2 linked regions of the Drosophila melanogaster genome follow. The protein of the gene in region 1 interacts with the protein of each later gene in a pairwise test. Each region holds a gene or a part of one and is shown in the gene's direction. Other genes may lie near its edges.

Region 1 (4,726 bases):
ACGTCAATCTCCTCTGCATATCAGTCAGATTTGTAGACGCTTCTCTAATTGGAAGTAGAGCAGATAGGGAATGGGATCTCTACCAATCCGATGGGAATCGGAGCGAAGAGCACTCCACTTGTTCACACTCCATCCTCGACGCACTAAATTTGGTGTGTAATTCTTTAAATCGTTGCCATGTGTTGGAGGAACGATGCCAAAACCGAGTGACACCAATAATCCGTAGCTGGGATCTGGGACGCCCAGAAAGATATTCAAATCTGTGGCGAAGACTGGAGGGACAAACGGGAGCTCATAACACTTATTTATGCGACCGATGAAATGGGAACATTAGCTCTTTGTGTTTTGTAAATATTTGTCATAATTTCGAGGGGCGCCCAACGACATGTGCGCCTCAACCAGACGATTTTTTTTTTTTTATTTTCAAGGCATTTAAAGATCCCCCACCACCATTGTGCATTTGTTTTCCGAGTTGTGCTTTTAATGTCGCAATTAAATGCATGAGTTTTTAAAAAAATTAGATGCCTGTCAAAATTGTCTAATTTATGGTTCACAGAAAGCTTTGTTCCAAAGTTGTCCCCCCAAAATTAAGAAGCTATTGGGGAACCACCAGCTTCTGCTTTTTTTCAGAATTTTCTGTTGGAATTTCAAACTGAAAATATTCTAATTTCTGCTAAGAAATGCATCTGCTTTAAACTTAAAGACTATCCCTATATTGTGTACTTTTGATTCAACATTTGGTAGATTTGGCTTATATATTCCTTTAAAAAGGTTGGCACAATTAAAAATGTATTGTTTTAATAATAGTTCCCGAAGGAGATCATCTAAATCTTCTCTGTTGTTACTTCTAGTCACGTATCTGCTGAGTAGTATGAAAACCAATTTCCCAGCATAGATAATGAAATTACACACTTGAAGCCATAACTAAATGGCAAACAATAAGAGGTGAAAAGCCCTTTGGCTGAATAAAATCAAACAGCCATGCGAAGTGGCAACCAACTTTGGCCCCCAGGAAATCACTTAGCCACCGTTCGCCGAGGCAGAAAGCATTTGAAGTTAATGGCGCAAAAACCAATCGCAAGTGCCAAGTCAGAGCTGCCAAAGGCAAAGGCGATTGGGGGATAGTCAAGTGCGAGGAATGCGACATTAGTGTTTGCCGAGGTGCCACGAACCACTTGAAATTAAATGGCGCGGCGCACTTCAAACGCCAGAGACAACAGCGATTACCAAATCGATGGCGGTTTGAGCTGATCTACAAAGAAAAGAAAAAGAAGATAGAAAATCGCAGAAAATCCAGAGAGCCCGCCCCCAAAAGCAGAGCAGGTATTACCAAACCAAAGGCCAGCAAACACGCGCCCAGCACACGCACACCACCCAACACCCATCCACTTCGCTAACCAACTCCCACCATCACCCACTTGCCACCATTGTTCGGCGGTGGCATTGATTTGAACGAATCAAAGCGGTATGCGCACTAAAAATACCAACAACAAGCTACCAAAAATCCAGATTAACCATGGCCAGCTGGAAAGGGGGCGTGGCCACGAGAATGGCAAATGGTGGTTGCTGTTCCGATTCCACTTGGACATTATTCCGCCGTTCCAATTGGAACCAGCCGTCGTCTCGCTCGCACTCGCATCGCCGCAACGCAGTGGTGGTGGTGATAGCGTTTCCGCTGAGTGGAAACTCGATTGCCGCTCCGCTCGTCAGTCGCCTGCAGACGCTCGCTGACAGCGGTAAAATCGGAGCAGCAGCAATCCGCATCCGAGCGGGCATTCACATCGAATCGTATATACAACGAGAGCCGTTCTCTCGCTGACGTCGCTGCCAGCGTCGACGTCGCTGCCAAATCTAGGCGAAAATCGCAACACTTGGCATACACAGCATATGGCACTTGGCCGCACTCCGAATCCCTGGCTAAAAGTCAAGTGCAGGAGCAGCAGCAGCCGCAGCAGCAGCAGCAGCGCCAGAAGCAGCAGCAGCTGCGGCGCCAGCAGAGTTTTCCAAGCTCGGCAGCAGAGATTCACTCTCGGTCGGGCGCCGGCGTCAGCGTTCCACGGATCCGTGATTAGGTTTTTACGGTGCTTCAGTCCGCTCGATGACGCCGAAGCCAGCAGTTATGCGCCCAGTAGCAGCAGCATCAGCAGTCAGAGCAGCAGCAGCAGCATTAAAGCCCTAAATCTGTGACACTTCCTTCCGGTAGCCACGTTGCGTATACGCCACCGTAACCGCATTCGCATGCCGTCGCGTAAAAACCAAACAGTTTCAGTGCCAAATCAAAAGAACCAAAGCCAGCTGATAAAAGCCTAAGCTAATCCAAAGATAAACATATAGAAAAAAAAAACTTATTGAATCAGTGATAAAACCGTTATGGACGTGGCCAAAATGCAAGCCACTTCCGGTCAGCATCTGCTGCATCCGGCCGCACCGCCCGCCCACCAACACCACCTGCCCCTCGACTACAGCCTGGGCAACTTTAAGCCAGCCATCGCGTCTGACTTTCCCGGACCCTTCCTCACCAGCCAGCAATCCTCGTCGGCCTCCAATTCCGCCTCCTCCTCCGCCGCCGCCACCGTTCCGCTGCAGGTGCGCGATCTCAGCGCGCTGACGGCCATGGCCACGATACCCTCGCCCACCCAGCTGCTTCACCAGCGCATACAGATGTCCGCGGACGCGGCCTTGGGCCACCACCAGCAGCAGCCGGCACAGAATCCCAATCCCAATCCGAATCACCCGCAGCCACAGATGCCGCCGGCCTCCACGTCGCCGCACGAGTACGCGCCTATGTCCGCCTTCAAAGCGGTGCTGCCCAAGAAGCGAAACTCCGACGGTAAGCCGGAATCACTCACTATATTTGCATGCTCAATCGTAAAAGCTTTGAAAATCCGTCAGCAATTGGGATTTTAGTTCTTGTCACTAAGTGAAATTGAGTTCTGTAAAATTTTGTTAAGTGCATAAATCGTATCAAGTTCATTGTCTCCAAATAATTCACTTTTGAATGTGGTTGATTGCTCATTTTTATATGTGATGATTTATATTTATTGAAATTCAGTGGCAAACCTGTGGCAATTTATTTATACAATCACTATAAATTGTATCAATAATTAATTACTTCGTATTTCAAAAAAAGCCTTCCACATATAAATATAGATGCATATTCCAATTGCATATTATTTATTCCATTTAGAAAGTTATCATTTTGTATTTCTAAAAAATTAAGTAGTCTCGTAAATATTTCAAAATTTTGCTAGAAAAATTCATCAAATATAGATTTTAATATTTAAATAAAATAATTCCTTAAAATTAAATCTGACCAAGTTTCTCAGAGATTTCTGAAGAATTTACTCTATTTAAATATTAGTAAATCAATAGATCGTTAAAAAAAAATGCAGTGAATGATATTCAGCGCATTTCTGAGTATCAACATTTATCAAATTAAATTTTTGTGCAGCCTGCGAACAGATTGGCATAAACCCAATCACACTCCCACCACATTTCATATGCCCCGAGTTAATTAAAAAAAAAAATGAAAACAAAAGGGACTGAAATCAACAACACAGAAACCGAAACAGAAACGGTGAGACTCCAATCCGCGGCGAGTGGCTACAAATCCCCCAAAGGCTGGTCAGCGGGCAATGTAGGAATTTTTAAAAATTTATTTGAATAATGTGTGATTTTAAAATATCACACACTGGCCATGTCCGAGTGAAAGCCCAAAGGCTGCACGGTGTCGGTTTAATTGGAAAAAAGCCCAAGTACGGTGGGAAAGCGTGGAAAGCAAAAATTGTTCGGGGGCAGCAGGAGCTGGCCGGGATATTCATTATTCCGTTTGTGTGTGTGTGTGTGTGTGTGTGTGTGTGAGTGAGCGCGACGCTTAATGGGCAAATCTTCTGTGCGGACATTGGGGCGGAAAAATGGATATCGGGGATTGAAAAATCCATAGCTGGACCACAGATACACAGATACAGATACGGCTGCGAACGGCAAACCATCGAACAAACTTGTAGATACACAGTTCAGTCCAGTCCAGTCCAGATACATCCACACACACAAGTGTGCTTGTGTATCTGTGTGCAGACGGCGTTGTCATCGCCATCGCTGTTGAATTTCAAATATGGGCATTGAATGAATGAATGAGCGTTCGCACGGGATCCACAAGCTTCAGTGTTGTCCGAAATGAACCGAACAATTTGGCTTTAAAAGGACTTTAAGAAATTAAATTCCTTATAAAATGGATTTCAGTATGAACCAATTTTGTTTTAATCTTTCACTAGCTAGATGCAGACAGCTGTGTCTCCTTTTTCCAAACTTTAAGTAGATTCGGACTTTTCCAGCCAAGCTGTCAGCACTGACCGTCATGTGTGTGTGAGTGTATCTCCCCTCTCTCAGTCTATCTTCCCTCCCATATTTCCCCACTCACACACACACACAGATACAGAATCAACACACACAGGGCAGCGACAAGCGGATTTCATTTACCGGCATTACATGTATCCAACGGATATGTTTTTAGCTCTCCACCGCTTCCAGCACAGACATGGATATGCGGAAAAGCAGACACACACACCAGACACACACACACACAGACGCACGCAAACACACACTCGCACACTGAATTTTCAATTCCGTTTGCCGCGACAAGCACCCCGACTTCCCCCCCCCCCTCTTTTCCAACCTTATTCTTTCTCTAGAGAAAATGAATTTCGCTTTGTTTGTTGGAATATTT
Region 2 (4,552 bases), on another chromosome or scaffold:
AGGTCTTAAATTGGCCATAATCATATTAATATGAAATTTCCCCCTATTTTTTCTGTGGCCACGCCTGCCGCTGAACTATGTATGTCTCGCCCGCACTCGTGTTCACTCTCGGGCTTCTCTGACTATTGCGCTCTCTTTCGTTCGCGCTCTTTGGTGGGTTACGCTCGCACAGTCACACACACACACGCACACTGATTCACTTTAAATCAATTTTTTTGGCGTTTTTCATTTCATTTTCCCTGTTGCGCATTGCACGCTCTCGCTCGCTCTCTCTTCTCTTTTATCCCGCTCTCTCTCGCTCTTACCCGCCTTGCCTCTCTGTCGCACAATTTAGTCAGGCAGAAAAATACCATTATTGCATTGACCATTTGTGGGCCAGCGCGGGGTTAAGCGTGCGCCGCGGGGGGGTTAAGTGGGTGGTGGTGTGGGTGGTTCCAGTGGGTGGTGGGTTTTTGCGGACGGCGCCTTGGCATGTTTGTTAAGTGAAACCATTTTTCTTTTTATTGCCACGGCTGCGCTGTCGACGTCGACGCCGCCGCTGCTGCTGCTGCTGCTTCAGTCTCGTCTTCTTCTTCTTCTTCTTCTTCCGCTGGGCTCTCTGCCTTTTTTCGCTTTTCGTTTTGTTATTTCTCGCTTTGGCGCACATAAATTTGAACGTTAATGATTTTTGCTTGCAGTTTGCGCGCATGCGACCCTAAAACAACAAGAACAACAACTACAACAACGGCAGCTGACCGTCAAGTGTTGAAAATGAGCTTGTTGTTGTTGCCGCTGCGGCGGCTGCAGTAGTTGTTGTTGTTGTTGTTGCTGCAGCAGCAGGTGTCGCCATCTCACTTTTTAGCACAGACTCAAACCACGAGCAACCAACCAACATTGGTGACACTTTTTTCCCCATTTTTCCCACTGACTGTAGTGGTGCCCCCATCTCACATACACACATATGCGCATTTTTATTAAACAAACACGAAGAAGACGAAACGAACTCCATATTTTTCATTTGTACGCGCCTGTCGCGCCATCCCGCTCGCACCGACTTCGCGATTGTCTCCACAAAACTCCACAACTCGCTGGCCGTAATTTTAATTCGAATCAATTTGTTTGTCGCCGCCGCTGCACTGAGTTCAGCCTTTTGCCCAGTGGGCCGCCGATCCGCTCCACTGTGCACGCTACGCCACATTTCGCTTGCTACGTTCCACTGTGCGGCCAGGATTGTCGCCTTTTTTTTCGGTGTGTGTGTGTTTTAGTGCCTTGTGAATTGAGTCCCAACAAAAAAAAAAAAAAATCGAAGTTAACCAAAAGAGCCTGCTGATTAAAGCGAAGTTAGCGCTAACCCGAAGTAAACACTATCCTGCAGTTAACGTAAGGCTAACCAAGAGCTATGAGGGAATATCAGAAAGAAAGCAAGAAACAATCGAGTCAGTGTTGAATTGAGTTATCGAAATCATTGAGCTAGTGAGGTGACAATATTAAAGGAAAATGAACTAGTTTAATTTGCAGTGTCAGCAAAAGCATTGAATTGTGTGTGTTCATTGCAAACGAGTTAATCGCATAAATTGGGAGCTAATCAAAAGCTAAGACGAAAATGGATCAGCTAATACAACAGCTGCAACAGGCAGCTGCTGCTCGGGGACAAGTCCAACATCCCCATGGTTCATCCGCTTTGCAACTTTACGCGGCAGCAGCGGCTGTCAACATGCAAGTGAGCGGCTGGTCATCCGTTCTCAACTTGTCCATGGATGCCCCAAATCCGGAAATTAGTCCCAATTCCGTAACCAATTCGTCCTCCGTGTATATGATCCGCCAAATGGCGCTGATACAGCAAGCCAGAGTGGCCGCCGCAGCAGTGGCAATGCAGCAGCAGCAGCAACAGCAAAGGGATCTCAATCGGGAGCTTGGCATGGATCCGCACAGTGAGCAGCGTATTAAGTTGGACTCAGTGTCACCCACGCACAACATCCACGCGGGTAAGTTTGATTAATTCATAGGCGATATTACTAGCTTATTCACATTGATTGATTCGATTTCTATGTCAATATTAACTAATATTCAATGGAAAATAATGAATAGAACATAGCTCTGGTTAATAAAAGCATGCACAAAAAACCACTCTATAAACTACGCATTTCGCATTTGGCCAAAATACACGAAATTGCTGGCCAAATTTAATTACGTGAATAATCAACAAGCCGCAACAACAATTACAAGCTGGCAAAAACACACAAAGCTACACACACACGCACACACACACACGCACACACACACACATTGAAAGTCCTGGCCTGCGGGCAAATAATGTTGTTGATTTTGTTGTTGTTGCTGCCGCCTGTTGTTGATTAAAAATTGATCAAAAAACATAAAAACACACGAATTATGCATGCGCGTATTTAAATGCGTGTGTTGCGCGTGTGTGGGTGGCGCTGAATTGATTAAAAGGAGCAATTCGATTGAAATTTTATTGGTAAATTGAATAAAGTGCACGGCGGCATAAAGGCCCCGGCCGGAAAACTTGTTTTCCATTCCAATTCGGCCATTTGGAAAATGCCATTATCTGCGCAAGCTCGACGCAAAGTTAATGAATGTAATGAATGAACAAATGAGTGGGCCACAGGACATCCGGGCATAAAATGTGGGTGGTCATAAATAACGCCATTTCGGAAGTGTCCTTGCCGGGAATTACCGCTAAACGTAGGTGATTAGATGAGATCGGCTAAAATGTAGAGGACATTTTGGAATAATTACTAAAAACTTTAATGGGCTTTTATACATACTATGTTGGTGATGATATTTAATTCATTTCTGATGAGATAATCCTTTTGCCTTTAAATTAGCATATTGTAGACAAGGTAAGTTGAAATAGTGGGAAAATGTTTGACTTACTAAAAAAATGTTGAATGTCATAATAAAATGGGATAATATATTATAGGCCAGTTCAAGCAAATATTTTTCTAAGAAGTTACGCTCTTAATAAGCTGTACTTTTAAAAAAACCAACCAAAACCATTTCCAAAAAAAAAAACATCAACATTTTCTTCAAAAAAACAAAGCACTACGTTTTGTAAGCAAATATTATTTTTATATATTTTAGTTTTATCTTACACTGATTAAATATATTGCTAAGCCTTGAGATCAATGAACAAAGTGGAATCACAATTTGTGAATGGAACGAGGCACCTGGCATCGGGAAATGGGAAATGGTGCATGGGAAATGAGCAGTGACAGGTGAAGTCTTGCTTTCCTTTCGGTGTCTTTTCCTCCTTGTTTTTTTATATATTTTTTTTGCCCAGGTCACGCCCAATCCGGGAAACGCCTGTATTTCCTATTTCGTACCTCGCCCTTTGTCTTTGGTCTTTTGGCAATTGAACCACTTTTGAGGCGCATCCAATTCCGATTCCGAATTGGCCGTCTTGCTGGGCCTCATCCTCCTACTTTTCTCGACGACGACGGGAAATTAGCTGCCATTAGTCATTTTTATTGTTTTCGGTCGCGGCCCCGAAACTACAGAATACAAAAAGAATATATGTATGTAACATGGAGTAAGGCTGAAGGCTGGCAACAACCCGGTTGGCAGCGCTGTTGAGCAGCAACATGATTGTCGGAAATCGAAGCTATCGACAATCAGTCATCGAAGGAACGATCGCAAGGCAGCAGTGGAGTCGAGTGGAAGTCAGCGTTGCAGTCAGTCGAGTTCTCAGCAGCAGTCGTTCGGTCACAAACTAAGAATACTTTACATAATTACCGCATTTAGAATTAAACTAATAATTAAATTAATAATAAACAATAATAATAAACAATCTTACATGGGGGCTCGTCCAGTCCTAAATCGGTTATATGAAGGTGCAGTTGTTTAAAGAAAAAAGACATTGTTGTGTGCGTGGGTATAGTCTTTAAAAGTTGTAAAGTTGTGGCTATATCTATTGCATTTAAAGTTGGAAAAATCAGTTGTACAGATTTTGTTTGAACACAAGTCGGTAAAAGTCGGGAAAGCTGCTAGAGAGAACTGATAAAGTTGAAATTGTCGTGTGCGTGGATTTAGTCTTTAAAGTTGTAAAGTTATGGCTACGTCTACTGCATTGAAAGTTGAAAAAATCGATTGAACTCATACAGACTCAAGTCGTTTTGCTGTTGTGGAATTTAAAACAATTAAATTGCAAAGGTGGTGAAATTCGTTTCTAACGAAAATCAAAATTTGTCTTTTAACCGGTGGCGCCGTCTGCAAAATCGACTACCGTCGCGCCGTTAGAACATTGTCGTTGTTTGCTGGTGTTAGTGCCTTGTCGCGGAATGTTCACACGCACACCACCTACAAATAAAAAACTTAACACCGACCAAATACAAGCAATTCTAGAGAACGAAAGCGAGGACGAAAGCAGAAAAGAAAAAATGAACGAAGAAGATCAAAAGTTGACGCCTGTAGGAGAAGCAGAGGCAAAGAAGCAGAATAAAGACGCTAGTGCTAAAGTCGAAGAGAAATTTGAACAAATGATGAATACTCTAACCCAGAGCATGTTGGCAAAATCTAAACAAGAGGGGCAAGTAATTATCGCTGCAGAAAA

The links. Proteins that work in one complex are often made in the same cells at the same time.
Region 2: the proteins of sens-2 (region 1) and OdsH interact in a two-hybrid assay, tested with the Drosophila melanogaster proteins (one large-scale study listed by BioGRID).

What each region holds. Positions count from the first base shown.
Region 1 is NT_033779.5:6,820,230-6,824,955, forward strand, and holds the start of sens-2 (senseless-2), read left to right. Parts: upstream 1-1,704; 5' UTR 1,705-2,370; coding exon 2,371-2,830; intron 2,831-4,726.
Region 2 is NC_004354.4:17,789,485-17,794,036, forward strand, and holds the start of OdsH (Ods-site homeobox), read left to right. Parts: upstream 1-1,525; 5' UTR 1,526-1,582; coding exon 1,583-1,964; intron 1,965-4,552.